Arabidopsis thaliana: one gene and its partners. The protein of the gene in region 3 interacts with the protein of the main gene of each other region in a pairwise test. Each region holds a gene or a part of one and is shown on either strand. Other genes may lie near its edges. The genes, in order: PIP1C, NAP5, HHP1 and AT3G45700.

Region 1 (7,343 bases), on a different chromosome or scaffold from region 3:
TCTTGTTCTCCACGAAAACAATCTGCCCCCCCAAAAAAACACGAAATTAACAATCAAATTTTCCAACACAGTCTTAAAACATACTAATAAAGTGATTGTGAAGCAGAGCAAATCAATGTACCTTTTTCTTGGTGTTGGCGTCGATAAAAGGATAAATGACCTTCCATGCGGTCATGAAAATGTAGGGGGCATGAACTATATAGAGTTTCCCTAATCTCTCTGGGTAACAATCCTGTAAAACAAGGTTTTCTTAATGTGGGGGTTACTCACTGTCAGGACTCACGACCATGAACAATATTACTAACGCAATATTTTGCTAAAAATAGGATTACAATCATGAAAGTTCCTTTTCAAAAAAAATCCATAAACAAAGAGAAACAAAAAAAAAGAAGCCAAGTGTGGCCAAAAGGACCAAAATAACAAAAAGACCTTTAACCTGATCACCTACTCCAAAATAACAAAAACACCTTTTAAAACATAGTAAATAGTACTGACGAACAAAAGGTTTCTTAGTTGGAAGTCAAACTGAATTCTCTATATTTGGAGTTAAGTGGATTATTAGCAATATTTTCCTTTATTAGTGATAATTGCTAAAAACCTAAATGTTTGTTTCAAAAGATATGATAGGCGAATTAAAGGAAGTAACCTGCAAAGTGGAAAGAGCAGCAAGGTAGCCACGGATGTCACAATTAGAATATCCCCAGCCTTGCAGATCTCCAATTGCTACGAATTTCTCTTGACCTCTCGGCATTCTAACATGACAACATTCAAACAAACAAAAAAAGAGCATTAGCATAAATGGTTTCTTATATACCCACACTAACTTAATGTATGTAGTAATATTATTATTATTCACCTAGCACAAATCTTCTCGAGCGTGTAGACAACAAAACGCTTGAACTCGTCAGGGTTGCCTTTGGAAGGGTTATGTCTGTTCCCAATGGCAACAGCGATAGGTCGACCCATCTTGTCATGACCTTGCATACACATCTTGTTATGCGATAGATCATTTGCAATCTCTGCTTCTGGTATGTGCCCCTTTGGGAGCATGCTTCTCTTCCAAGTCAGGTAATTTAGAAACATCGTTGAAGCCTTTTCAATGTCCAGGTCACGCGCTCTCAGAAACCTCCTTATCATCAGATCATCCACCTCCTGCAAATCCAAATCATTAGGGCTTTTATCAAATCAATACTTTTCTGGTTGAATTCTTTTTTTACTTAAAGAAATCGATAGGGACCTTAGTTTCAGGATCTTGTCGGTCGCAGAGAGCTCTCATGATCCCGACTTTGCTCCTCTCGATCTCATCTTCGATCAACGGAACGGTCTTTTGCTCAGCTGCTGCTGCTGGTTCTTGCTTGGTCTCTTTGTTTTCCATTACGTTTCTCCTGTGAGCGACGACCAGATCTTGAAATTGGTAGAGAGAAGAAAGAAGTAGGATCGATCATAAATGAAGACAGCTGCTGAGAGAAAGATTTTAAGTGTCATTCAATGCAAAGTTGGGCTGCTTTCCCCTTCAATGGCGACGCTCACCAACTACTCTCTTCCTTACAAAAATTCTACTCATTTATTGACTAATCCCAGGTCCCCGACTCTACAGGAAGAAGACGATTATATCGTATTGGGCCTTATTAGAGCCTATTGGGCTCGAGTTGATTTGTCGTAAAGACTTGGTCTGTGGTTTAATCAATCTCTCATGCCTCAAAGTGTTGACTGATTCAGAGGCCGTTTTAGTGTTTTGAGCCCACGTCAGAAGCTTGTCTGTCGTCTGTGTGTATAAAACAAAATTCAATTCACGATTTTTTAAAATATTGATCGTATCTTTTTCCACATGTATGTAAGCAATGAAGGATCTGCTTCGTTGCAAAATATTAGTTTTTCTTTTGATAGGCATGTACCAACTAAGTACCAGCTACGTACACAGACAAAGTCAGTAACAATTAAAATTCATCAACCTAGTCATTGCTTGTTCATCAATCAACCTAATCATTTGTTTGCTTGTTAAATAACAATGCCAACGTTATTATTTCTATTTCTATACTATCATACATTCATACGGTCCACGCCTCTAACAAAAAAAGATATTGATAAAATTTAAAAGATAGATAATTCGATGAAATGAATTATAATGAAATGTGATTTGTACAACTGAGAAAGGATGTCATATACGGACTTTGGTCGGGACCGCCCCAGTAAACACCACCAACACATATTTGCCTCTTCAACCACGTGTCGTGATTCTGTTGGTTGGGCAGCTAGACGACTGTGATGTGTGTGTGTGGGTTGCGTTTCGAAAAATGGCAAACCCCACCACTAGTTCAATAAAAGGTGTTTCTTAATCATATAGTTTAGCTTCGGATTATTTGTTTCCCTTTTCAGTTTTTTAAAAATCGATATCTACAATAGAGTTAATCTGTTTATAAATTCAATTATTGTTCGGGTAAGACAACATCAACAAAACTAATAGGGTTTGAATCCTAAACACTAAACTCCATTTAACTAGTAAAGTATGGCTCATATAGCGTTAAAAATATGTGAATTGATAACAACAACAGAGTTTTGAATTTTATTTTTGTTAGGTTTGAATAGATTGATAGAAAAAGGAAAGTGGGAATAGGGAAACGAACATGTGATCACAGAAAAGCAAAATCCATTTCTGAGCTGGAAACCCCCGCAAAATTGAACCTTATCTCCAATTTTCATTTTCTTTTTTTCTAAAATATATATCGTTTAATTGAAAAACCTCAAATTCACAATCATTGTGATTATTTTGTCACTAGTAGTACACATAGTAATTTAATTAAACATTTTAAAAATACTCTAGGCCCGGCACAATGTTCGAGACTATGTTACTTTACATAAAGCAATCGCTTTCCACACACTTCTTTTCCTTTTCTTCTCCAACGGTCGGAAGTAAATTATTAATTCGTCGACTAGTCAAAAAGTTAGTCCTTTGTGAGTTTTCTGGCACTGTAATATTTTTTTTTACATTTCTAACTGCTGACTGAGTAGTACTCCTGTAGCAAGGCATTTGAGAATAAATTAGGTCAAACATGCTATCTTTATAAGGAGTTTCAGAATATAATACTAATAGTTAGCCAACGCAACAGAATTAGTATAAGCGTGGGTTGTGTTACATGATTAAACATCATCAAGTAGTAGGCTATTACAATTATTAACGTAAATAAATATGCTTTTACGAAGATCATCGTTATCCATGATTCCCTGTATTTCTCATTATTTAAATATATCATAATAGTTTCGAGACGTTAGTTTTTTTTGCTTTTTCTATTCTCTCTCTCTCTCGCCTCTATAAAACCATTCTTTCTCTATCTCAGCCACTCTCATTACCCATTGTAGAAAAGAAGAAAAAAAGCAAAGAACACTTGAACGTTTTCTAGATAGAGATGGAAGGGAAAGAAGAGGATGTTCGAGTGGGAGCTAACAAGTTCCCGGAGAGGCAACCGATAGGTACATCGGCTCAGACGGACAAAGACTACAAGGAGCCACCACCAGCTCCATTTTTCGAGCCAGGCGAGCTGAGTTCGTGGTCCTTCTACAGAGCCGGAATCGCCGAGTTCATAGCCACCTTCCTGTTTCTATACATAACAGTATTGACAGTGATGGGAGTGAAGAGAGCACCAAACATGTGTGCCTCTGTTGGAATCCAAGGCATTGCTTGGGCTTTCGGTGGCATGATCTTTGCCCTTGTCTACTGTACTGCTGGAATCTCTGGTAACCCCATTTTTTTTATCTTCTTAATACAAGTAGAATTGGTCTTTTGTTGCATGCTTCAAACCCTTGTAGCTCTGCTTTTAGTTTTCGATTTTTCTCAAAGAGATCTTAATTTAGAGTTGATTCTGATGAGTGTGTGTGTGTGTGTGTTTCACAGGTGGGCACATAAACCCAGCGGTGACATTTGGTCTGTTCTTGGCTCGTAAGCTGTCATTGACGAGAGCTGTCTTTTACATCGTGATGCAATGTCTCGGAGCCATCTGCGGCGCCGGAGTTGTCAAAGGCTTCCAGCCAAATCCTTACCAAACTCTCGGCGGAGGAGCCAACACAGTCGCTCACGGCTACACTAAGGGCTCTGGTTTGGGTGCTGAGATAATCGGAACCTTCGTCCTTGTCTACACGGTCTTCTCCGCCACTGACGCCAAGAGAAGCGCTCGTGACTCCCACGTTCCGGTATAATTTTGTTTTGATTCCTCTTAATTTATTGTTTTGGGTGTTTAGAAAAAGATTCATAATTTAGGGTTATTTTTTTTGCAGATTTTGGCACCACTCCCAATCGGATTCGCTGTGTTCTTGGTTCACTTGGCGACGATTCCAATCACCGGAACAGGAATTAACCCAGCTAGGAGTCTTGGAGCTGCAATCATCTACAACAAGGACCACGCTTGGGACGACCACGTGAGTACCCCATTACATCATTTGGTTGATTTGTCTTTCTATATGTCTTTGTCACTTTGGTTTGATTGTGGTTTGATTGTGGTTTGCAGTGGATATTCTGGGTCGGACCATTCATTGGAGCAGCTCTTGCGGCTCTTTACCACCAACTTGTCATCAGAGCCATTCCATTCAAGTCCAGATCCTGATTTGATTTCTTTCTTTATAAAACTTCATTGTTGCATCTTGGTTTGTAATTGAGCTTGAAAATATTTGAGAGATCTGGATCATGTGTTTATTTTAATTAATGGACTTGTCTTTTTCTTATTTGCTGTGGATGATCTGGTTTTATCGTTAAATGGAGTTTGATATTATGATTGATTTGGTACGATTTTAATTTTGCTTTTGTCGTTAGACTCGAGAAATTTTCAAGAGGAATTTGTTAATTTGATTTTCTTCTGGTTTGGTTCGGTACAAATTGAGTAAGATCCATATTGTTTCGGCTTGGTTTCTCGGGTCATCGACTCAACTAGTTTACGTGGTATTTAGCCCATATTTACATTGGGCCTCTTGCGCACTCTTTATGGGCCACGTTAACCAAGTGGGTATTAAGCCCATTTACATTGGGCCTTTTTCGCACTCTTTATGGATACAACTAGTATCCCATAATATGTCCATCAACGGCATCACTCCACCTTAATTTGTTGCGATAGATAGCCAACCAAGTTGAGATAAAACATTCTTACTTATTCTACAATAACCTCGTCAAAGTGGATTACCTACCCACTGCTTCACACCTTTTTTTTTTTTTAGTTTTTACTTTTCAGTTTCATATCTTCAAAGTGAATGTTTATGATAAGTTTGTTATCTTCTTGGAAATAAATTCTATTTCATAATTTTCATTGTACATAATTGCATGCATATTTTGGTAATTTATCTCAAACACACATATATGTATACACGCATAAGTCACTTTTCTTTGTAAGCTAAGGTTCACGTGATGCAGTTTCAATTTCCATAGCGTGTAAGTAGTTATTATACTCATACTAGGGGAATACTGTTACACTCATATCCGTAAGTATGAATGCATATGGCTCAATGGCTCTCCAACTCCCAACTATTTTACCGTTTTATTAATATACCATTGACATTTGAGTGACCATCCATGATACGCGGACAAAGAAAAAGAAAACCGTCTTAATCCCTTAATTATTATAAATTAAGGAGTTAATTATTTAAACCTAGTATAAAGTCAATTAACTCAATTAGCATTATAACTCTGTCGACGGCTCCTTGATACGTAAATATTGCAATCAAAATTAAATGCTACCAATATATAAAAGTCATTTTCATATAATTAACTTGGTCAGGCGGCCGTCGACTTTAATGTTTCACGTATAGTTGGATACTATATAGTATATACACACAATGCCAACCCACATATTATAAATTTATAATAACTCACCCAATTAATTATACAGCCTTCCATTTAGGTGAACTACTAAACTACTTTCTTTCATGTCAATCAACAAAAAGAAAGTAACTGAACCGCGTGTGACCAAAATTATATTTATGTATACACCAAATTCCATCATCTAATAAATACCCTAATCAAATAATCACTCATATTAACTTAAATATATTAGAAAAAAATAAGTGTCAATTGAAACCTTTGTTACGAATCATGTGATGTGAACATTTAATTTCTCATGGAGATAAAGAAATAAGAAGGGTTAATTTTGTAAAGATTGAAAGTTTAAGGATAATTTCGTAAATAGTTAATATTAATTGGACTGAAAAGTTATTTAGTCAGTTGAGCGATAAACAACCACTGGAAGGCGCATTTAAAACCCCAAGGACCTTCCCTCTCTTTCTTTCCAAATCTCTCTTTATCTCTCTTTCTCTGTTTACTAAATCGCCAGTATTCGCCGCAAGAAAGATGTCTCCGGCGAAGAAGAGCCGAAGTTTTCCTCCGATAAGCGAGTGTAAAAGCAGAGAGTATGATTCGATCGCTGCGGATCTCGACGGGACTCTGCTTCTGTCAAGAAGCTCTTTCCCTTACTTCATGCTGGTGGCCATTGAAGCAGGTAGTCTCTTCCGTGGATTGATCCTTCTTCTTTCTCTTCCCATCGTCATCATCGCTTATCTCTTCGTCTCCGAATCTCTCGGAATCCAAATCCTTATCTTCATCTCCTTCGCCGGTATCAAGATCAAGAACATCGAACTCGTCTCTCGCGCCGTTCTTACACGGTAACCACAATCACCGGATCTTTATTCTTTTCGATTTTGGAACCCTTTCGATTTTTAATCTTCGTTTTCAAATGTTAGGTTTTACGCGGCGGATGTGAGGAAAGATAGTTTTGAGGTGTTTGATAAATGTAAGAAGAGGAAAGTAGTGGTGACTGCGAATCCGATAGTGATGGTTGAGCCATTCGTCAAAGACTATTTGGGAGGAGATAAAGTTTTGGGAACAGAGATTGAAGTTAACCCCAAAACGATGAAAGCTACTGGTTTTGTGAAAAAGCCTGGTGTTCTTGTTGGTGATCTCAAGAGATTAGCCATCTTGAAAGAGTTCGGCGATGACTCACCGGATCTTGGCCTCGGTGACCGCACCTCCGATCACGATTTCATGTCCATTTGCAAGGTTTCTCTATCTCTCTCCTCTCTCGTTTCATTTTGCATATCCAGTTTACGTTGCTTAAACCTGATTTAGGTGGTAATTAATTAAAGAACTAACTACTTAAATGCGGTGTGGAGAGGATTCACATGATCTATGGGATACACATGATTTCATAAAAATCTAGAATAATGTTTTAGGATGATAAAATCCATAGTTTCAAAACACATACACGTATAAGTGAATTTAAGTAGAGGAAAGTAATCACTGAGAGTGACAAAAAGTAGATAACAGAATAGAATAATAGTTTTCATAAATGCTTCCAACCTATCACCAACTA
Region 2 (6,871 bases), on a different chromosome or scaffold from region 3:
ATATTTAATCATAAATTGTCTTAATTTATTTTCATTATTTTTAGGAATAATATAAACATATATTAATCAACATTTATTATTTATAGCATAAACAAATACATGTTTATTTATTTGCTCTTTATTATTCTAATATAAATTAATAGTGTTATATATTTTTCGCCACAGTTAATGTTAAATCTAAAGTTAAAAATCCAACATTAGATCATTATTTTCTTTATATATAGAGATACACAAATCTACTCCAAGAATCATCATCGTAGGAAAAGAATGGAGAATGATAAACATAATAATCCCAAGACAATATTTATACCAGATGATATAGCTGAAGGGATCTTTCACCATCTTCCAATAAAATCACTGGCTAGATTCAAAGTCTTATCAAAAAAATGGACATCGATGATCGAATCAACCTACTTTTCCCACAAACGACTCATTCGTACAGGCTTACCAACCCCTAATATGAAATTTCTTCATATTAGTCAACACTTTACAGCGAATTTTGTTGAAGAATATTCAAACTCAATAACTTTTCTTTTGGAGACTTTTTCTAGAGATGATCAAAACAACAGAAAAACTTGTCTTTCTTCTTCTAGTTACTACACTTTTTCTGGTGATCCAGTCGACGAATCTCAAAATAAAACTATTCAAGTATTGGGGTCTTGTGATGGATTGGTCTTGCTTCGGATCCATGACGATTTCAGGTCCATTTACTTGATCAATCCGACGACTAAAGAACACATGAAACTTTCTCCCGAATTTATGCAATGGCCATTTACTCTTAGTTACTTAACCCCCGCAATGGCCAATAAACCATGGAGACAACTTTCTCAATCAGTATTGGATTATGACATATCTGGTTTGTCAACTTTCTTGTTCTATGGTTGATTATAGAGTTGAATTTTAACTTTCACATAGTAATATGTTATATACCTATTTATCAAAAAAAAATTTTTCGTCAAGGTGGATTAGTGAAGAGAATGCCGTCTCTTGCTGGATTTGGCAAAGATATTGTTAAAAAATCTTATAAGGTGGTTTTGATATATACAAGATATGAAATACATGATCATGAGTTCAAGGCCAAGGTCCTATCCCTTGATAATGGTGAGCAAAGAGACGTAGGGTTTTATGACATACATCATTGTATCTTCTGCGATGAGCAAACATCAGTCTACGCCAACGGATCCCTCTTTTGGTTGACATTAAAGAAGCTTAGTCAAACATCTTACCAGCTATTAGCTATCGATCTTCACACTGAAGAATTTCGATGGATATTATTACCAGAGTGTGACACCAAATATGCTACTAATATAGAAATGTGGAATCTGAATGAACGTTTGTGCCTATCGGATGTGCTAGAAAGTTCAAATTTGGTCGTTTGGAGTTTACACCAAGAATATCCTACCGAAAAATGGGAGAAAATATATTCTATTAAGATTGACGTTATAAGAACCAACCAATTACATGAAAAGTTTTGGATGCTTGGTCTAGCGGCTGCCTATTTTTCAAATATCAGAAATCGTCAAGATCAAGTTTCTTTTTTTAGACAAAGAACGATTTCGTATTTGCCAACAATGATTTCTCCTTCAAATTTGATGCTTTGATGTTGTTAATTATACTTTCAATTTTTAACAATATTATATGTAAGTTAAAAAGAATATTTTTAAAAAAAAGATGTTTAGATATTTATTTATTTTAAGTATATTGTAATTTCTTTATTTGACATTATGGATTATTTTTATGTTTTATTTTCTCTTGTTTTCTTTCTTTCTGTCAATATAATACATATTTGGATATAGTTATGATGAATATATACAAGTTTTTGAACAAGTTTTTGCAATTTTAAAAGACATTGGAGAACGGAAAATGCAGTGATGCATTTTATGAAACAGTTCAGTAGCAGTCTTGTAACCAGCCGTGACAAGAAGCGTGGCTCTAACAAGAATGCAGAGGGAACTTCCAAATGCCAAAGCAACATACACAACCATTAACGTAGAAAGTTTCACAGGAGCTTGCACATCCTCAGAAATAGGAGTAGCCCAAGCCATCCAGTAGTTACTTCCAATCTGTAGAAGCTGAAAGAGAATTTGCCCCAACAATATGAAAGGCACAAGAGCTCCTCCGTATGCCAGTGTGATATATTTCCAGTATACATCCAAAGCGACGCTACCTTTCGCCCTCTCTTCCTCTTGAACAAATTGTCTTTGGGGCTCCCCAGAATCTAATTTATCGTTCTTCAGATCTTGACTTTCTTGTTTCCCGTCGAAACCAATATCATCTCTCACAACACCATTTTCTTCGTCTAAAGCTGAGTTTTCAGAAACAGAACTGGCATCAGCCGACCCAACTACTGCCAGAGACTCTTGATGCGCACCTATAAGCTCCCTGAAATCTGTTCCAGAGATGAGGATATCATTATATTTTCCAGCTTGGCTGATTCTCCCATCTTTCATGACCTGAGGCATAAGAAAATCGGTTATGGATGATTTCATATTCTCAGTGCTGTAGAAAATGATAAAAGACAGTGAACTATTCACATACCAGTGTAAGATCAGCAGAAGGTAAGAACTCAACTTGATGGGTTACATATATAACCGATTTAGAACATAAAAGCCCTCGTAGAGCTTCCTGAAAAAAGTATGAGAATGAAAATAAATTTGATACATGATTGTTTACGGAAGGAGAAATCACAATCACACTAATGGCTAAGTAAGAAGATTGTACCTTAAAGAGATGTGACCCTGTGTGTGCATCGACAGCACTAAAAGGATCATCAAACAGATAGATGTCCGCATCTTGGTAGAGAGCGCGTGCAATATGTATTCTTTGCTTTTGTCCACCACTCAAATTGATGCCGCGTTCTCCAATGACGGTCTGATCACCGAATGAAAGTATCTCCAGATCTTTACTCAAAGAACATGCTTCAATCACCTTATCATATCGTTCTCTATCCATATTATATAAACAGACTTAATATCAGTCATCTGATTATTTAAACTTAAATACAAGTGTATTAGACCTTGTTCTAGGAGCAGGCTCATATCGTTATGTATAAAAGAAGATATCTGTGTGAGATTGTTTTCACTGTGCAGTCCGAAAAGTGTTGCCTCAGAGTCTCCTGGATCAGATTATCAGTAGCTGTATCGATAGAAGCAATGGCTTCATCAAGAACCGGCCATACTTTGCTTTTCTTGAGAAAGACTCGTCTTACTGTGTATCAAGGCGTCGTAGTGTGTAGTTGTCAAAAACTTGTGGATCAGCAAAACAACATAAAGAAAGATCTTTGCCAAAAACTTCTGAGTTGGTATTACAGTCATTAAGAATGCTCGAAAAAGAAATTCTCACGTCCGTATTGAAAAACCTTCTTCAAGACACTCAGTTCTAAGATCTTCCATGAGACCCTGAAACATAGATGGATCGCTCGTCACAACAGCATCCACACCTAAGTGAAGCATCCTTTTCATGGGATCAGCATCATCCACAGTCCATGCATACACCTCTTTGTTTCTCCTGTTGATCAGATCGAGCAAGGTTGTAAACACATGAGCAGGTGTGTTTTTATTTGAAAACATTGAAATCGATTGCTTACCGACGGACAACTCTAACTAATTCTTCATCGATCAAGGGATGATAAACTCCCACAACCCTAGCTCCCTTCATTCTCAGCAGGCTGTTTCTCGCCCCAGTCAAAGGATCTACCATCACAATGTATCCCACCTGCCAAAATCACTAGGAAATGAGCAAGAAACTTCTCTATCTGATCCTCACAAGACAATCCATTTCTGTTTACCATAGTATCTGGTGCTCGTCTAATTATGTCCCTAGCCAAAGTGTCGCTTTTGGCCCATACGATGCAATTATTGCACTGCGCTCTCTCAATCTAACAACAGAGGATTGGCGATTCATGTGAGCAAAGCCAGAAATACCACCATTGAAACATCAACAATTTATCCATACTCTTGTTTTTTCAAGTATCTATAGTAAGCTGTTCTAGCTTTGTGTACAAAGATACCAGGAAATAAATGATTAAGCAACGCTATTAAGGAATCAAAACATGTTTATAAATCTCGAGCACATTGTACTAAAGCTTTACAAGTACAAGAGCTAACAAAAACATAGTACTTACAATAGAAAGGATGTCTTGTGCTAACCCCTTTTCATACATTGGCGGTCCAACTTTGGCATCAAGGATCACTTTCCGGACTGAATTCGATATCAACTAGATGATTCAAGATCAAAACTAGCTTCAGCCACTTGTTACTAAGCAGAAATTACAAAGCAAAGCAATGACAAGATAGTAATTAAAAAAACAGGCATTACCGCTAAAGCCTCTTCAAGAGTAGGAATCCTACTACTTCCCAAGGTTCCTTTAACAATCTCCGAGACATCGAGTTCCTTGATCTGCAAAAAGATCATCAAAAGGTTTATGAAAAATGGATGCAAAAAAGCATATCCCAAAAGCTGGTAAAGAGAGAGAGGGAGAGATGAGACCTGTTTCATACTCAGATCTCCAACTTGAACAGAAGAGTTACGAGCAATACGCTGCAGATCCCTGACTGTGCGTGTGATCAGAAGATGAATAAGAAGAACACCGATGAGAATCCAAACACAGAAACATTAGAAGAAGATGATACAACAAGGATCAGAGTCTGTAACCTGTTGTGAAGAGCGAATAAAACACCATCGGAGGAACGAGAAACATCGACTTCAATGCAATCAACTCGAGAACGTATAGCGAAACTGTAAGCGTCCATCTACGATTGAGAAGAGTCCAAGAGATTAAGGTTTAAAAAGGTTAGTAGCAAGAGTGTGAAGAAGAAGAGATCGAGAGTGTACGTACAGTGTTTGGGAAAGCGAGGGTGGAATCGCCGCCGTGAGCACAGACAAGTGGAGGATGGTGAAGCCAATCGCACTTTTGCGCGACAATCTGACGAATTCGTCGGAGCTTGAAATGGAAGTAGAGAGGAGGGAAGATAGCTAAGAAAATCACAGCGAAGAGAATCGTTCTCTTGAAATTTCTCGAATACAATGGGCTGAAGAAACGACGGCGACGAGTTCCTCCGCCGTCGAATGGCCGTCTTCTGTGCCGCCATTCAAAAATCGCCATTAGCTGAACAAGACAAAGGTTGTTTTTGGAGCTAAAGACGACGTTTACTGCAATCTTGGAAAAAAAAGAAGTTCACCAATCACCATCAAACTATATATTTTTTTTTTTTTGTCACAACTGTTTTATTATTTATATTACAAAGCCTTTTAACAAGCCATATTTTACAAAGCCATATAACAGGCCATAAACGGACAAAAGCCCAAAGACCACCTTCTGAAGAAGAGAAAGCTAATGTGCTAATAAGTCAAAGCCCACATGGCACTAGAGACACGGTAAAGAGGACACGTGGAAACAGAAAATGATGAGTTGCAGAATGTCGCAGGTGGAGAATCATAACCACAAAAAACTTAAGTTCACCGGAATTGCTGTAAACGCCAAATCGGAAGCAGCTACAAATCCGATGAGACAATTGACAAATCTTCTGTGACAATGACTGTAAAATTTAAAACCTTCAAGAAAGAAATAGCTCACAAACTATCGACTTCGACTTCTGCCATTTAAAGGAAAAACAACATAAACCCAAACGATTCAACAAGCATCGGCAACAAGAAAGACAAACAACAGCTCTAATTTCATCAAAATCAAACAAAAGACACTAAATTAAACTTCAATCCGTAACTAAAAATTTGATCTTTTAAAATGAAAACTCAATAAGCTTGAAGAACAAATTAAGCCCCTTAAAGAAGGGAGGATCGAAAAATTACAAATTTAGATCGAAATGAAGAGAAAGAGAAATCAAAACCAATTAAAACCGAAGCAAAATAGAATCGAACAAGGTTGAAAGGCAAAAACTAAATTTGAAGAACGAAGCCGACCAACGGTGCTAAAGAAACCACCGATGTCGGAGAAAAGCTAGCCGACGTTGCTAAAGGAGCTAACGACGCCAGAAGGAAGCCAACCAACACCACTAAAAAAGCTGGCTATTGTCGGAGCCAAGTTTGAGCATCAGAAACTTCCTCTCTCTAAAAGATCTAGAGAGAGAAGAGAGAGAAAGTCCTTTTATTTTCTCAACTGCACAAAAGAGAGAAAGTCCATCAAACTATAAATTATTTTCTTTAATTTTTTTGTTATATTAAAAAAAAAACTAATAACAAAACAATTTTATTCTCATTTGTTCCACATCTCTAGAGTCACAGAGTGTACGTATCAAATAAAATTAGAAGATTAAAACACACAAAAAAAAAATGAAATAGAAAAAACCATTCACTTTCTAGTCTTATCAAGAACTTCGATGTATCTCTTTGGAACTCCATAGTGTTCCACCATATATCTCGCAAGGTTATCAATCACACCTCCTTGAATCAGAACCTCGTACCCTTTCTTACCTGAAAGCAAACACACAAAACAATCAATCATCTCTCAAATAGTTAATTCACTTACACAGCTGAACAAAACAAAAAGGATAGATTTTAAACGTACCTGGAAGTTCTCCAACTGAAGTACTGCAAGCAAACTTCTTCTGCAGTTCTGATCCAAACGAGTCTGGGTCTATCAAGAACGTCTCCATCCCTGTGACCTTGGTCACTTTTTTGTTACCTTGTCTTCGTTCTGTCATTATCTGAACCGGCTTTACAGCTCCTTTACGAACCACGGGTTCACCGCCTCCTCTCATCACTACGTGATTAGGCTGCATTCTACCTACAAATGTCGACCCAACATCCTTTTTGTGGATCTCTGACGGATATGCCGATCCCTTTTTGATAGCTCCTTTGAACAATGCATCACATAGTATCGGATCCAACACCACCATTGATTTGTTTGTTGGCT
Region 3 (7,932 bases):
ACACCCTGTAGCGTCTCCAGGATATGCTCTTTAGTATGGTTTTGATCTCAGGGATCTTCTTAGAAGGAACATGAATGGTGAACTTAGTCCAATCAAGAACGTCTGAGAAAGGCAAGGCGTAGTGATCAGAGATGATGACAGGGACGCAACCTAAGTTAATGGCTGCAACGACTCGAGGGCTAGCCACTTCGTAGCCACTAGGACAGAGACAGAACCTTGCCGTAGCCATGAGCTTGAAGTAGTCTTTGTTTTTGGCTAAGTACTCGTGGACTTGGACCTCCTCATCTTTGTCTTTCCAATGCTGCAATAGAATTCTGCGGATATAACCGTGTGAACCCCCTGCGAAGAAAGCAAGGATGGGTCGGTCATGGCCCGAAGAGCGCGATAACCGAGGTGGTCCCAGGTGGCCTCCGGGGATGTTGATCTCCGGGATTGAGACGTCTCGTTGGGGCATGAAACCTTCTGATGTGTTGGCGTTGCAGAGAACTCTTATCAGGTTTTTCATCAGCTCCGGGTTCGATCCTGAGACGTCTGGTGCCTGCAAGAGTCTTTAAAAATGTTACATTTCAGTAGCAACATCACAAAAATAAGTCTGGTTCCAGAAAGAAAACAAACCCAATCATGGCAAGAAACGTAGAAATGGTCGGCTCCAAGGCTTCTGTTCCAATAAGGATACTTGTGAGCCACAACATCGACGTAGTCAAGAAAAACTTTGTGAAGTTGTTCCCTCGAGTAGGTCACGAGCGGCCGGTATAGGTAATGAACGATGTTGGCGACGCTGACAGGGAGGAGAAAGGCATGAGCCTCTTCGGGGTTGTTAGCCGCGAACGGGCTCATCCCTGTCTCGATCTCGTCCATGAATTGGCCTTCAATGCTGTATATGTTGTTCATTGGACCCATGTGAACTAACGGTGTCTCTCCTTCTCTGTACACCCACACTTTGAATTTCTTCTCCATCTCTATATGGCTTCTGCTCAATTTCATAAGAAAAAGTGTTGTTACTACTCGATCATAATTCATAAACACAGTGAAGTACATTTGTTCCTAGCTACAATTTTTGTTTATTTAAAGTTTGTCTACGAATTTGTGATAGACTAATCACAACTCACAAGACAGTTTTTGAATACGGTTAGGTAATTTCTTACTATGTATTTAGAGTAATTTAATTCTCTTTTAATAAAATAACTGGGAGCAGCAATTCAATTTTGCAACAAGCAAAGAAATGATGATTTTGAAGTCAATAAAAAGTAGTACAATACAACTAAACATTTTTTTTTTTTTTTTTACTCTAATAACTAAACTAAGGTTGTAATGTGAAGATAACATAGAGCTGTGACTACAATTACCAAAGCAGGGCTTTAAGTAGGCGCTACGTTTCTCTACCCGCATACCATTGTGCATATATAGTATAGTCCCTTAATTAAGACACGTTGACTATATAAAAAATTTACATACTTTTCTGAATATTATAAAGTTTACGCAATTCTTTAAGAGAGGTACAATTTGCTTTAAGATTTGGGAGAAAGATTTATTTTGGTATTTACTATACACACGCTTGGTTGTGTGTAATATAAGCAATACAATGTATTGAAGTAAAAACAAGTATAAGAGCATGGACACTTAAATAGTTATAATATAAACCATATAACAAAGTGAAAATGAATACTTAAATAGTTCAATCTTGAGTTTAACGAGACGCAGAGAACTAAGGAACGAGGAAGGATTAGAATTATACTCAATCGCTTCGTTTCCCATAGCAAACGAGTAAATAATTCAAGAAAACCGAATTTATACATACTCCAAATGAAGGGAATAAAAAGGATTTCGAAAATAATTTATTCATGTAAACAATAAATGTATTTTGCTTAAAAATCATTGTCGAATGTCGGTTACACTTTTGAGGTAAATTTTGAATTTCTCTTCTTTGAAATCCAAATGATCTGGGGAGAAAATTATGGGTAACTTAAATGAAAATTGTCATATCATTAGCATAAAATGTAGTTGTATACTTAATAATTTTCATATTGACTAGTTTTTTTCCCCCAATAAAATCTTAGTATTACATTTATTTCCTAGTATGGAAAGTAACTTTAAATGAAAATTTGAAAGACAAAAAAAAAAGGAGAAACGAAGAAAAAAAGGAAACAGAAACTTACTGATGAAATGCAAAAGCGTTTCTGTAAACGGCTCCTCGAGGAACAAAGGTTTCTTCTTTGTCCGATACAAACTTCTTCAACCTCACGGCTTCACGTATGGCGGATCTTGATTTTGCTAAACCTTCCTCAATTATGTTCCTCTTATTTCCTTTCTTATTACAACAAATTATATATATTCAAAAGTCAAAACAAATCTATAGCATAAATGAACAAAATCACGTAAATTAATAAAAACATACATTTTCAGGAGGACTCGAAATTGTTGAAAGGTTTGATGAGGCGACACTAAACTCCATAGACAGGGACGGTGAAGGAGATGGGGCGAGGGACGTAGCGTCGACGAAAGAAGAGAGAGCGTTCGAGTTTAGGTTTGGAGAAGAGTGATGTTGATAAAAGACGAGAAGAACAAGAAGAAGAAGAAGAGTTGGAACTAGAGAGAGTTTCATATTAACAAAATTTGATTGTTCCATATTTTTTTTCTCTAGTTTCTTGGGCAGTGACACATTTAGGGTATATACTTATGTAGTAGAGGAATATAAGAGTCTATTATAGTAGAGAATCCAAACCAGCTAAAAGTCTACCAAATAAAATCACTAGAAAGGTAAAAAATTAAAGCAGAAATGGACCAAAATAAATCCTATTAGGGAAGGAAACGGAAGACTAATAGAGTAATTGAGAAGCAAATAACATTAATTTTGTATTTATTGCTTTATAAAAATGTTTACCGAATCAGAAGTAAATCTTCATATCGTTCGGGGTTTGGCACCGTCGATCGTTACTAGCTAGCTATCATGGCATGCTTAATTTTAGGGTCAATTTTGGGTTTGGTTGCAAGAAGAAAAACGAAAAACTTTTATACCCATTATCAAACCGGTTCTTCCCGTACTGCTATAACCGGTCTGAGGCAGGCAAATCAAATTTGGGGTGGTTAAGCATAACCGGCATTATAAAGCTTTAGCTGACATGTTTGGTCGTATATTTGTCACTCTTGAAGATAATTTAACAATAACATCAAATTGGGTTAATTAGAAGAACTGTTTCACGTACGCTATGTTTCACACATCAACCTTAAACTAATGGTGATGGTGTTCGATTCTTTGTTTTACTCATTAACCACACATAAAAAAAGTTTCATACATCAAAAGGAAAAAAAAAAAAAGATATATGAAAATATACACCAAGTCTCACGGCAAGACCAAGACATTTGGCTTCCGAAATTCGAAAAGAGTTTGGGTCCGTTCACGCATTATCGATCAAGAGTCTAGTTACAGAGTGAAGCTTGGTCTTTAATTATGTTTATGTCTGATCAATCCTTGTCTTGCATCTAATTAACACCTGTATAACCTAGTAACACATATATTTATATCAAATCAAAAAGAACAAAAAAACTTTGAAGCAATAATAAGAGGACTCGGCTATGAAGAATGAAAAAGGAAGCGGAGACTTTGATGAACATTTGATGGTGCATATATACATATTAATTCTCTTGTGGTTAGGGAATCCTGACACTAAGCTAAGTGCGCATGTAGATAGATGAAAGAACCATCAACCATGCATGAAGTCCATCCTTTGCATCATTGGTTTTTTTTTTTTTTTATAAAACAAATCATTGGTTGTTTCAACCGTCAATTTTTGCTTTTGTGTTTACATCAATTTTTTTTTATGTCTTTTCAATTCTGTTTGCTTTCATGATATAAAGCAAACAAACAATTGAAGTCATCATATTCAAAAACGAAACTATTCAGTGGCAAATATTTGATTTACCATTAACTTCTCATAGAGAAAAAGACTTCTGAAAATCATGCATATTCAACAAACATAACAATTAACACAAGTTGAATTACAATTCAATTTAAAACAAATGGGTTATTACAATTTTGTTCACCACGATACAACAAATTAATAATATTATATTTAAAAGAATTACAAATATATGGTTTAACAACCAACGTGGTCACGCCAGTCCAAGAACAAGAGAGCAGCTGCATAGTGAGACAAAGCACCCAACAAAACGAACACATGGAAGATCTGATGACTATGTCCCACACGATCAAACCATCCCGGTTTAAGCCTTTCTGGCACTCTCCCTACGTAGAATCCTGTTCCAACAAGATAGAACACTGCCATAAGCAACTCGTACACGAGCGTCACGTTCCTTTGCGGGTTTCCCCAATTGACCACTAGCGCGTGGGCAGCTGGGACAATCCCAAACAGCCCCATGGAGGCAAAGAGCAAAGCGCGGAAAGCTCGGTACTTGGGAGCGGAAAGTGATGGGGTGAAAAGTGTGATGATTGTGAAGATTCCCATGGATGTGATGCCTGCGAGGTAGATGAAGTACCACCGAGGAGTGCACTGGAAGATGTAGAAGATTGGTGGGAAGAAGGAAGTGATGATCATGGCGGTGATACCGGCATAGTCTATTCGGAGAAGGAAGACATTAAGCTCTTTTGAGTGGCAACAGAAGAGGTGACAAATGCTGCTTGCGAGTAGGCAGAACATTGAGCCTCCTAAGAAAACGAAGAAGGGCCATCTTGTTACATTCCCTGGACTCTTTGCATCCTACAATCATCAACATTGATACCACCATTAGCTTTACATTTTTATTGACTAGTTTGAGATACTAAAAAAACATATACTAGATATATGATCAAATAACATATTTGAGTTGATTTCTAATCTAGTTAAGAAATACATTTTCTTCAGTTGTTTAGATATGTGATTAAATAATAGATTTGAGCTGATATATAATCCTTAAAAGAATTACATTTTATTGAGTTGTTTAGAATATACTACAGAAAACAAATTATAGTCAATGTAATATTGTCAAAGATTTTATTCATCATTTCGATTCATGTCTATATATCTTTGATATCTTATTCAAAATCATCATAACAAAATCCAGGTATAGCAACGAACAATTCATTAGAAAATTAAGATAAGTTAATCAAAACCAATTAGGTATATATCTAATTACTTGACACATTCACTTGACTAATTTGAAGTTAATATAGTGGTTGCATGTGGATCTCGAGGGAATAAATTGAAATTCGGGCTAAACTTGCGATTATTAAACAAAAACAAAAATAAACGTGTTGATTAAAGGACACTTACCACGGGGAAGAATCCGTCGTGATGAATAATATTGGCGACGGTTAGTGCCACAAAGAAGATAAAACCAATCAAATGTCTGTCCAAAAAAAAAAAACTATTAGAAAAAAAAATCGAAGAAAAAATAATTGAAACTAGAAGTAAAATTTGGTGTACTTACGTCCAAACATTGAGGGACTCATTGTGGAAACTAAATACGCTGAAGAAAGCATCTCTAATGGACCAATCAGCTCTGTAATAATTCAATATGTATTCGTTGTCTTTCATGTACTCCGGTAGCTCACAATACGACATTAATTCACGTCGTTTCATTGTCTTTTGTTGCGTTTTTCTCTTCTTCCTTCTCTTGGTACCACTACTCTCATCTCCACCGTGATCATCTCCAGGCACGATCTTGCTTTTGCAGTTGCCGTTGCCGCATGAAACTGTTTCTGCTTCGTCGTTATGACCATTTTGGTCCATAAGAGCTCTCGAGTATCGATTCTTGAGACAAGAATACTCAATCTTGATCTCAAGAGAAGATGGTGAGAGAGAAGATCTGAGAGGAGAGGAAAATATATAATGAAGAAAGATTATTATTATTATTATAGTTGAAGTAACAAGTATTAAAATGTGAATTTAAGTTTGAGGGGAGAGAGAGAGAGAGAAGAAACAAGGAAGATGTGAAATGTAAGGAGACAGCTGCAACATTTAAAGACGAAACTTTAGTATGCAGGTAGAAGTTGGTGTCGTGTTTTCATCTTTTAGTTGTTAGTTAGGTTATCAATAAATTCTTCTTTTTTGATTATTATTATTTCATTTCCCTTTCTCTTACGTTTGTTTTTATTGTATTTTTTTTTAACAAGAAAAGTGATTCAGTTTTACACTACTTTTTGAGATATGGAAAATCTTTTGAATACGAGAAGAGTAAATTTAGGCGATTTTAAGACCGACCGACTCAAAATTCACTACCGGCTTGTACCTCTTTTACATGATTGATGCCTTGTACCCACCGGATCGTTTGTATTTATAAGAAAGATATAAGATATGTGATGCAAACAAAATAGTACTCTTGATGTAAAAATAAAAAATAAGGACTCATTTAGACTTTTACTATGCTTCAATCAACATTAAATTCTGTGTGAAATTAAGATTGGTGAGGGGTTTACTTTACTTGAAATAGACGAGTAATTTTAGAAAATTTGCATTTTTGAGTTCTTATGTGTAATTCTAAGTAATTTTTTTAACAGAAGAAGTTAGGATAACAACAGAATTTAATGTAGTTATGAGTTATGAAGTGATTGTGGTAAAGAAGTGTCAAAGCTCTTTCCATCAAGTGGATGACAACAAAAATAATGATACTAAAAACAAGCATGCAAACATTTCAAGGATTCCTTTTTTTAAAAGAGTAGACCACAAAAGCCAAAATCATGAAAATTTCTATTTTTTTCTTGTGAAATGTTGCAAAAAACATTAGTGTCATTTTCAATGAGTTACCACTTGAAAAGGACTTGACCTTTAAATGCCTCTAGCAATATAGAACTTCAAGTTAATTAATTAGGCAGATGACTAAACTTTAGAACAAATTTATAATTTATTTGGAAATCAACTAAAAAAGGATGTTAAAAATTAGACGAAAATATCTTCATACAAGGAATTATAAACGTTTTGTTGGCAAAAAAAAAGGGAATTATAAACGTTTGTGACATGCATTCATGTAATACATGTTATTATGCTGTTATTATGAAGGAGTTAGTGAGTAAAGATCTTGACGCCACTACAAGGTTTGTACTTCGGTATGTGTTTCAAAACACGATACATTCTATATGGAGAGAAAGAAATGAGAGGAGATATGGACAGACGCCATCGAGGACGAAGAAGATAATCAGGCTGATAGACAAAAACATAAGGAATGGATTAAGCACGTTGAGGGTAAGATGTGAAGAGAAGTACGCAAGAGGAATCCAAGTGTGGTTTACTTTTAGGCAAGAACAAAATCAAAGATAAATAAGATATACTTTTGATCTATTTTTAAGAAAAGTTTGCATTTCTGTATATAAACAGTTTATTTTTCTTTGAATATAATTTAACACTAAATTCAAAAAAAAAAATATGTTGTTATTATGTAGATAGTAATTAACATCTCGGCGTCCCATAGCCATACCTTTATTTTTTCTCTTACAAAATTCAGTTTTGTTATCTAAAATTAAAGCTGATAAAATGGCCATAGTTGTAGCTTTCTGGTCTTTCAAGATTTGGGTTGGCTTAGGCTTTTTGGGAAAACATTAACCAAAGAGGTCACTCCTGAAACACCCCCAAGGAATCGCAATCATATACGCAAACTCCATATACGTGTGTTTAAGTTTCTTGGGAAAATAGTTTATTACTAATTCATAACTTAAGATTTTGTTAAATATGGTTGAAGAAGAAAATGACTTTATCTTCTCGACATCTTTTGTAATCTTTACTTTTGGATATAACTGCCATGTGTTTGCAATCTATTTAGCCTTAATTATATATTTTGTCGCCTAGGCCTAATTAAAATCAAAAGGAATGGTTTTATTTATATGAATGTTGTTCTGTTAATTAAAATACCGGGAATATCCTCTTTTTCTTTTTATTATTACAATACTTTGCATAAATGAAGTAAAATCCGGTAGGTGTCAAAGAGACAACCATATGAAGAGTT
Region 4 (8,213 bases), on a different chromosome or scaffold from region 3:
AGTCGGAGAATGGCTTTGAAGTCTTCTACTTCCTGAACAGAGCATAGCCTCCACATGTTATTACTTGAGTCACCACTCGTGTTTAAATCTTCTTTGTTCTTTAATGCTGCACGGTTCAAGAACCTGAAAATGTAAAGCTCTTTTTAGTTCTGGTTAAACTTTCATGAATCAAGCAAGGTTTTGGTCTTAACCTAAAGCTCTTGGAGGGCATTGTAGTATAAGTCTTGGCCTCTTTCCCGAGACCATATTGATGATAGTCTTCGTCTTTTGATGAAATCACTGCCTTTCTTTTCATTGTAGCAGCAACTAAAACACGGATCAGGCTTGTATAAGGACTTCCCAAGGGTTTGTCATGCTTGTAGAATCTAACCCCGGCGATGAAAACGATGAAACTGATCAAGTTAGCAACGGCACATAGACCGAACCCAAGTTTCCAGCTAGCATTGTCTTGTGTATATACAATCGCTGTCGTGCCAGTAATAGCTCCAATATACAGTGCAAGGAAGAACCAGTTGAAGAATCTTCCTTGTTCTTTAGGCTTCTTATATTGGTTCGCACCCGCGGCTGCCAAGGTGAACCGCGTCCCAGCTGATCCAATGATCACTAGAGCTAAGGCTACATACAAGATCCCAAGCTGTAGTTTTGATGGCGACTGGCATAGAATTGACCCCGTTTCACACGGTCTAGGCATCAAGTAGTTCAAAGATGTGATTAAGGTCAAGAGAGAGGTTCCCTGAAAAAATGGTTTTAAAGCTGGTAAGCTTTGTATATCAGAACATAGAATAGAATTAGTGAGTGTTTAACTTACAGCCAGAGAAATGAAAGTGGAGGTGGAGATGACGGGAATGTTCCCAAAAAAGGAATCAGCTAGGATGGCTGCAACAACAGGTAACATGTTGACAACTCCATTGACAACATTTGAAATCTGAGCAGCAGCGATGTTCTTGATGTGGAATTCCTCGATCAAGAAGACGATCAAGTTCATTCCCCATCCGAAAGAAGTTATGGACATGCCTAATAATGTAACTGCACAACATAAAACCTCACCAGTATCAACATCTATATATGTTTTGGTTTCAAAAAAAAACAAAAAACAAACCTAGCATGAACGGTAAAGTGATCCAGCCACCACGCTTTTCGCTTGGATCGCTAGAGCGATGCGCTACTTCCGTGTCACCAGATTTTGAATCAGCCATGGTAGAGAACAAGATGAACCAGGAGGGCAAATGGAGTTATAATGCAAAGTTGACTTGTGTTTGTGTGTTATAATGGAGTTAGATAAAAGACTTGAAACTATATATATAAGCAAATCCATAACAATTATTATGTAGGTGCAGTGATTTGGTACTAATCTTGTTTGGTCCCAAAAAGACCTAATCAGATTCTGACAGTCCATCTACCGTTGGTGACAGTTATAGAAAACAATAAAATTATTTGACCAAATCTTCAATAGTACGTAGTATTCATAATCATCAGAAAAATATTCTAAAAAGAAACTTTGAATAATGTTAATAAAGAAATAAAAAACGCACGATCGAATATTGTGTCAAAATCGTTTGTATCAGCAGATGCATAAATATTTTTCTTATTGCCCAAAAAATGTTTTAAAAAAAATCTAAGCACCATTCTCACGTTTGAAACTCTGTTTTCGTTCCCAAAAGTCAAATCTTCTGAAGCCAAATATTCATGTCAAACAACAAATCACGAGACCATGCTACCAACGCTGTCATATATTAAGATTTTCTTCTCTCGGGTTTCACGGGCTTCATTTCATAGTACCCTATATTTGGTTCGCAAGATAAACGCCTTGCTTCCCAAGATATCTCTAATTATATTGTTTATATATTCTCAAGCCAAATCTTACATCTTTCTTATAAGACATACAAAATTCAAAGTGATTTATGGTGTTAAGTTTTCTCCAAACCATCGTTTGTATTAATTGATTTTGCTTGAATCTTTCAAGATTGTAAATGACACACTTTCTTTTTCTAGAAACAAAAAAGAGCAAAACAATTTGGACCATTTCTTGATTTGTGAGTGTGATCCTTGCAGATCTTCTTTGTATCGTTCCAATCTTATCAGATGTCCTCGACGGGACAAACCATTTGCCGTATGTTGGTGTATATATGTTGTTAGATTTTGTTCACACAACCAATGTGGAATATCTATGTTAGATGATTAAGATTAAGTACAATACTAATTATCTCTTGGCCCTTTTAGTTATGTTGATTAATGATGAAAAATACTTGGGTTCACCCCTAGGGTTAAACGAGGTTAAATGTCGGTTTGAGTTTATTTCAAAAGGTTTGGGTTTAGAAAGTACGATTAGGGTTTAGTTTTATGATTAAACGGGTTAAATATTGGTTTAGGTTTATAAACAGATTTAGATTTTACAATTAAACGAGGTTAAATGTCGGTTTAGGTTTAGAAATTACGATTAGGATTTAGTTTTTTTACGATTAGATGAGTTTAAATGGCGGTTTGGGTTTACAAAGAAGAATTAGGGTTTAGATTTTGTAATTAAACGAGATTATATATCGGTTTGGATTATAATTATAGCTTTAGTTTATTATGTAATTTAAGTAGGAATTGACATTGCATGTTTTTTTTGGTTAATATAAAGGAGGTGAAGAATCCTTAAAAAAGCTAGCTAACAGCTCATGAGCTCTAATCGGTCCATTGGAGCTAGGATACTAATAATTTGAGGTATGAGTTTGATACAAATAACATTTATTGGTAAAAGTAAACACAAACGGCAAACAGTGAGTTTGCATGTAGCACATAAGTTAGTTGCATGAAGACACAACTACAATATAGAGAAAACGAGGACAGAACACGTTAGTGTCCTAGTTTGTAACATCTTTAAGATCTTGTTCATGATCATCATTCTTGAGGTTTCTGTATTTGTAAAACCAAGAGCAGACAAGGAAGTAGCCGAAATTAGAGACTCCTATAATGACTAATACCAAGTAAACATTGTCAACCCTTCCGTGGTTTATGTCATTTGGTAACCACTTGGTGGTCCTCTGGATCACATCGATAAGAGCTGTGCTCAGATAGAAAGAGATTCCCATCACCACCGAGGTCAATGAAGTCGCTGTGTTCCTTAGAGACTCAGGGAATTCTCCATAGAATATTGCAATATTTGCTGGAAAATGAAAGGCCTCACCTATTCCATTAATCACGAGAGCAGGAACCAGCCATAGCACTGACATGAGATGGCTATTTTCAACTGTTTTCAGCCTCTTTGCTTCAACAACGGCTGATATCGCCATGCTTAAGATTGTCAAAACGTGGCCGATCCCGACTTTTTGTAGCGGTGTCAGCGGTTTGCGGATTAGCTTCTGATACATGGGATAGGTAGTCCAGTTGTTAAGTATGATAAAGACGCATCCAGAGACGAGTGCTATGACTTGCATAGACCCAGCAGAGACTTTGAAGTGTGGGCCAAGTTTACGGTCCATGACCATAGCTTGGAGGACAGTCATGCTCATTTGCACCGCTAGGGGAGCGCTGAGGAACATGACAGATGTCCAGAGAGGGACAAGTCGGAGAACGGCTTTGAAATCTTCTACTTCCTGAACAGAGCATAGCCTCCACATGTTATTATTTGAGTCTCCTTCTGTCTTCAATGCTGCACGGTTCAAGAACCTGCATAATAAAAATCCCTCTTTATTAGCTCTCTTTTTAAGTTCCATGAATCAGGAAAGCTTTTTGTTTTCACCTGAAGCTCTTGGAGGGCATTGCAACATAAGTCTTGGTCTCTTTTTCGAGCTCGCGGTGATGATAGTCTTCGTCTTTGTATGAAATCACAGCCTTTCGTTTCATTGTAGCAGCGACTAAAACGCGAACTAGACTTGTATAAGGACTTCCCAAAGGTTGGTCATGCTCGTAGAGTCTCTTCCCAGCGACGAAAATGATGAAACTGATCAAGTTAGCAGCGACGCAGAGACCGAATCCAAGCTTCCAGCTAGCATTGTCCTGTGCATATACAATTGCTGTCGTGCCAGTAATCGCTCCACCATATAGTGTGAAAAAGTACCAGTTGAAGAACCTTCCTTGTTCTTTAGGTTTCTTATATTGGTTTGCACCTGCGGATGCCAAGATGAACCGCGTCCCAGCTGTTCCAGTGATCACTAGAGCTAAGGCTGCATACAAGATCCCAAGTTGTAGTTTTGATGGTGATTGGCATAAAATTGATCCCGTTTCACACGGTCTAGGTCTCAAATAGTCCAAAGATGCAATAAGAGTCAAGAGCGATATTCCCTGAAAAATGTTTCAAAACAGGTAAGCTTTTATATCAGAAGTTGTTTAAGAAAGCATTAGGCATGCGGTGACCTAGTGTCTAGCACCTAAAACGCTTAGTCGGATAACCTTAGGCAGTTTAGCCAGTTTAGACATTTATTACATAAAACATTAGAAATATGAGCTTATACTTAAAACATTATATAAAATACATATTAGAAAAATAAAAATAGAATATCGTAAACAAAGTATAGACAAAACATTTCTTTAATGTACATCAAAACAATATATGAACGATTGTAACTATGTATATAGAGATAAAACCTACTTGAAAATTAGAAAATGCACTAAAACTAGGCGTATATACATTTTAGGCGGTCGAAACAGTTGTTTAGGCATTGTCTGAGCGCCTTAAACTAGGTCTGTGTAATTTTAGGCGGTCAAAACGGTTGCCTAGTAACTGCCGATACCGTTTTTAAAACACTCATAACACATAAAAGAATTGGTGAGTGTTAAAACTTACAGTTAGAGAAATGAAAGCGGAGGCTGAGATGACAGGAATGTTCCCAAAAAAGGAATCGGCTAGGATGGCTGCGACAACAGGCAACATGTTGACAACTCCATTGACAATATTTGAAATCTGAACAGCTGCGATGCTCTTGATGTTGAATTCCTCGATCAAGAAGACGATCAAGTTCATTACCCATCCAAAATAAGTTATCGACATGCCTAACAATGTAACTGCACCACATAAAAACTTTACAATCATCAACATCTGTTTATGTTTTGAGTTCACATAAACAAAAGAGTCAAAAACACAAACCGAGCATGAACGGTAAAGTGATCCAGCCACCATGCTTGCTAGAGCGATGCGCTTCTTTGTCACCAGAGTCTGAATTAGCCATGGCAGAGAACAAGTGGAAGCAGGAGGTACTTTGACTTGTGTTTGAGTGTTATAATGCAGTTTAGATAACAACCGTAACCTATATATATAAGCAAATCCATATCAATTATTATATGTTGGTAGTGATCTTTTTTGGTGGCAAAAATTTCATATCAGATTCTGACAGTTCATCTCCTAGTGTCGTTTGCCAATATCAGGTTGGTGAATGTAATAAACAACTAAAAAGCAATCGCCCATATCTTGCCTTATCTTCAGTAGCAGTAAACCACTCCACAAGCATAAGAAAAGTATAAATAGACAAAGATTCAAGAACTTTAAATAAATTTTATTAAAATTTAATATACTCTCGACCAATCATTGAGTCACTTTTGTATGATAAGACCTTAAAATTATTAATTATGAATCAGGAAATACAGAAATGATTTCCTTTTTCTCCAACAAAAAAAAAAACCAAACCACGTTTCTCACATTTCAAACTCTGTTAGAATTAAGCAAGATAGTGAGAGTGGTTATGTAGTTGTTGAAAGAGTTTTTGTTGTCTGATTATTGTCATAAAAAAGGGTCTTTCAAGATGATCAAAACAACAAAAACCACAAGAACAGAACACGTTGTGTCTTAGGTTGTATCGTCTTTTGGATCTTGTTCCTGATCATCATCATCATTCAGGTTTCTATATCTGTAAAACCAAGCGCAGACAAGGAAATAGTTCAAGACTCCTACAATGACTAAAAGCCAGTAAACATTGTCAACTCTTCCATGGTTAATATCATTTGGTAACCACTTGGTGGTCTTCTGGATCAGAGTGATCAGAGCTGTGCTCAGGTAGAAAGATATTCCAATCACCACTGAGGCAATGAAGTCGCGGTGCTACTCAGAGACTCGGGGAATTCTCTATAGAATAATTCAATATTCGCCGGAAATTGGAACGTTTCTCCTATTCCTACTATCACAAGGGGAGGAACCAGCCATAGCACTGACATGGAATGGCCATTAGTAACTGTTTTCAGCCTCTTTGCTTCCACAATGGCGGATATCGCCATGCTTAAAATGATGAAAACGTGGCCTATACCGACTTTTTGAAGCGGTGTCAATGGCTTATGGGCTAGCTTCTGGTACATGGGATAGACAAGGCAATTGTTCATTAAGATAACAATACATGCAGTGATGATTACTATGACTTGGAGGGACCCGGCCGGGATTTTGAAGTGAGGCCCGAGACCGCGGTCTGTGACTAGAGCTTGTAATATAATCAAGCTTGTTTGCGTCACCATGGGAGTACTAACGAAGATGATGGCTAGTAACAGAGGGAGAACTCGGAAAACGGCTTTAAAATCTTCTACTTCTTGAACAGAACATAGCCTCCAGTTGTTATTAACTGAGTCATCTTCGGTTTTCAATGCTGCACGGTTAAAGAACCTGCACATGTAAAAGCTCTTTTAAGTTCTGTTTTAAGTTTGATGAATGAAGCAAGTTTTTTTTGTTTTTTCACCTAAAGCTCTTGGAGGGCATTGCAGAAGATGTCTTGCCTTCTCTTCCAAGCCCATGGTGATAGTCTTCTTCTCTAGATGAAATCACAGCTTTCCTTTTTCTTGTAGCAGCGACTACAACGCGGATCAGATTTGTGAAGGGACTTCCCATTGGTTTGTCATGCTTGTAGTATCTCTTGCCAGAGACGAAAACTATGAAACTGATCAAATTAGCGACGGCGCAAAGACCGAACCCAAGTTTCCAGCTAGCATTTTCCTGTGTATATACAATTGCTGTTGCACCAGTAATAGCTCCAGTGTAGAGTGTGAGGAAGTACCAGTTGAAAAAGCTTCCTTGTTCTTTAGGTTTCTCATATTGGTTTGCACCCGCGGATGCTAAGGTAAACCGCGTACCAGCTGATCCAATGATCACTAGAGCTAAGGCTATATACAAGATCCCGAGCTGGAGTTTTGATGGCGATTCGCATAGAATTGACCCTGTTTCACACGGTGGAGGTCTCAAGTGGTCCAAAGATGTAATCATGGTCAATAGAATGATGCCCTGGAAACGTTTAACAACTAGTAAGCTTTGTGAGTCACACAAGACAATAGAATATTTAAGTCTCAGACTTACAAGCAAAGAAATGAAGGCAGAGACGGAGATGACGGGAATGTTTCCGAAAAAAGAATCAGCTAGAATGGCTGCAACAACAGGCAACATGCTCACACATCCATTAACAATATTAGAATTCTGCGTAGCAGCGATGCTCTTGATGTTGAATTCTTTAATTAGGAAGACGACCAAGTTCATCACCCATCCGAATGAAGCTATGGAAAGTCCTAACAATGTAGCTGCACCATATAGAGCCTTACAATAATCACTATCAGTTGTCTATGTTGTGTGCTCAAAAACATAAACCAAAACAGTCATAAAATACACTAACCGATCATGAATGGAAACGTTTTCCAGCCACCGCGCTTGCTGCTTGGATCGCGAGTGGTCATTGCTTCTGTGTCGACTGAACGAGCCATGACAGAGAACAGATGAAGCAGAGGAACACTAAATATAAGCAAGTACGGAATAATTATGTTGTGCAATGATTTGTTAATGATCTTGTTTGGTAAACTTGTTATTAAGATTTACACTAAATGTTGTTATAATTATATGTTTAAAAGTTTAGTTTTTCTCTTACCTTTTTGAACTACTTGGCACTCTCATTTATTAAACAAGGATCTCTCTTAATTACACAATTAAAGTTCCATAACTGAGAAATCTGTCCAAATCTGCCCATTATATAAAAGATGAAGGGAGTTCTTTAAGGATTTGACATCTTATTATGTGAGAGCAAATAAAAGATTAACTTATTAACATGTGTCCAACTATTTAATGTGTATAAAATTCATTTAAATTGAATTTAATTATGTTAAAAATCATTTAAGGATAAGCATAAAATAATAATTAAAACTCAAATTTAATTTAGAAACAACACATTAATAGTGTTTAGATCATTAACATAATTTAGAAACGACACACTAATAAAACTAAAATCATCTAGCAGATATAAAGATCCAACGATTCGAAATCGTTCATTAGGGGT

What was found.
Region 1: the proteins of HHP1 (region 3) and PIP1C interact in a protein complementation assay, tested with the Arabidopsis thaliana proteins (one large-scale study listed by BioGRID).
Region 2: the proteins of HHP1 (region 3) and NAP5 interact in a protein complementation assay, tested with the Arabidopsis thaliana proteins (one large-scale study listed by BioGRID).
Region 4: the proteins of HHP1 (region 3) and AT3G45700 interact in a protein complementation assay, tested with the Arabidopsis thaliana proteins (one large-scale study listed by BioGRID).

Annotation. Positions count from the first base shown.
Region 1 is NC_003070.9:223,238-230,580, reverse strand, and holds PIP1C (plasma membrane intrinsic protein 1C), read left to right. Parts: upstream 1-3,037; 5' UTR 3,038-3,404; coding exon 3,405-3,732; intron 3,733-3,889; coding exon 3,890-4,185; intron 4,186-4,269; coding exon 4,270-4,410; intron 4,411-4,499; coding exon 4,500-4,595; 3' UTR 4,596-4,916; downstream 4,917-7,343. Other genes in the region: AT1G01630 (Sec14p-like phosphatidylinositol transfer family protein), read right to left, coding at 1-22, 122-232, 647-752, 857-1,152, 1,238-1,375; GPAT4 (glycerol-3-phosphate acyltransferase 4), read left to right, coding at 6,326-6,636, 6,715-7,030. UniProt on the Arabidopsis thaliana protein: Water channel required to facilitate the transport of water across cell membrane. Its function is impaired by Hg(2+).
Region 2 is NC_003070.9:26,882,218-26,889,088, forward strand, and holds NAP5 (non-intrinsic ABC protein 5), read right to left. Parts: upstream 2,953-6,871; coding exon 2,722-2,952; intron 2,626-2,721; coding exon 2,539-2,625; intron 2,454-2,538; coding exon 1,797-2,453; downstream 1-1,796. Other genes in the region: AT1G71320 (F-box family protein), read left to right, coding at 268-577, 620-856, 970-1,601; GDPD4 (PLC-like phosphodiesterases superfamily protein), read right to left, coding at 3,339-3,507, 3,587-3,714, 3,788-3,877, 4,124-4,216, 4,318-4,398, 4,489-4,549, 4,654-4,751, 4,838-5,104; AT1G71350 (eukaryotic translation initiation factor SUI1 family protein), read right to left, coding at 6,308-6,429, 6,524-6,871.
Region 3 is NC_003076.8:6,836,931-6,844,862, forward strand, and holds HHP1 (heptahelical transmembrane protein1), read right to left. Parts: upstream 6,017-7,932; 5' UTR 5,727-6,016; coding exon 5,425-5,726; intron 5,344-5,424; coding exon 5,268-5,343; intron 4,716-5,267; coding exon 4,095-4,715; 3' UTR 3,903-4,094; downstream 1-3,902. Other genes in the region: AT5G20260 (Exostosin family protein), read right to left, coding at 1-538, 616-970, 2,157-2,308, 2,396-2,626. UniProt on the Arabidopsis thaliana protein: May act as a negative regulator of abscisic acid (ABA)-mediated osmotic stress signaling and function in cross-talk between cold and osmotic signaling.
Region 4 is NC_003074.8:16,775,702-16,783,914, reverse strand, and holds AT3G45700 (Major facilitator superfamily protein), read right to left. Parts: upstream 5,203-8,213; 5' UTR 5,151-5,202; coding exon 5,069-5,150; intron 4,987-5,068; coding exon 4,769-4,986; intron 4,267-4,768; coding exon 3,725-4,266; intron 3,652-3,724; coding exon 2,847-3,651; 3' UTR 2,647-2,846; downstream 1-2,646. Other genes in the region: AT3G45710 (Major facilitator superfamily protein), read right to left, coding at 1-123, 192-733, 809-1,026, 1,100-1,196; AT3G45690 (Major facilitator superfamily protein), read right to left, coding at 5,765-6,016, 6,112-6,565, 6,639-7,177, 7,250-7,467, 7,560-7,647. UniProt on the Arabidopsis thaliana protein: Transporter involved in a passive nitrate efflux.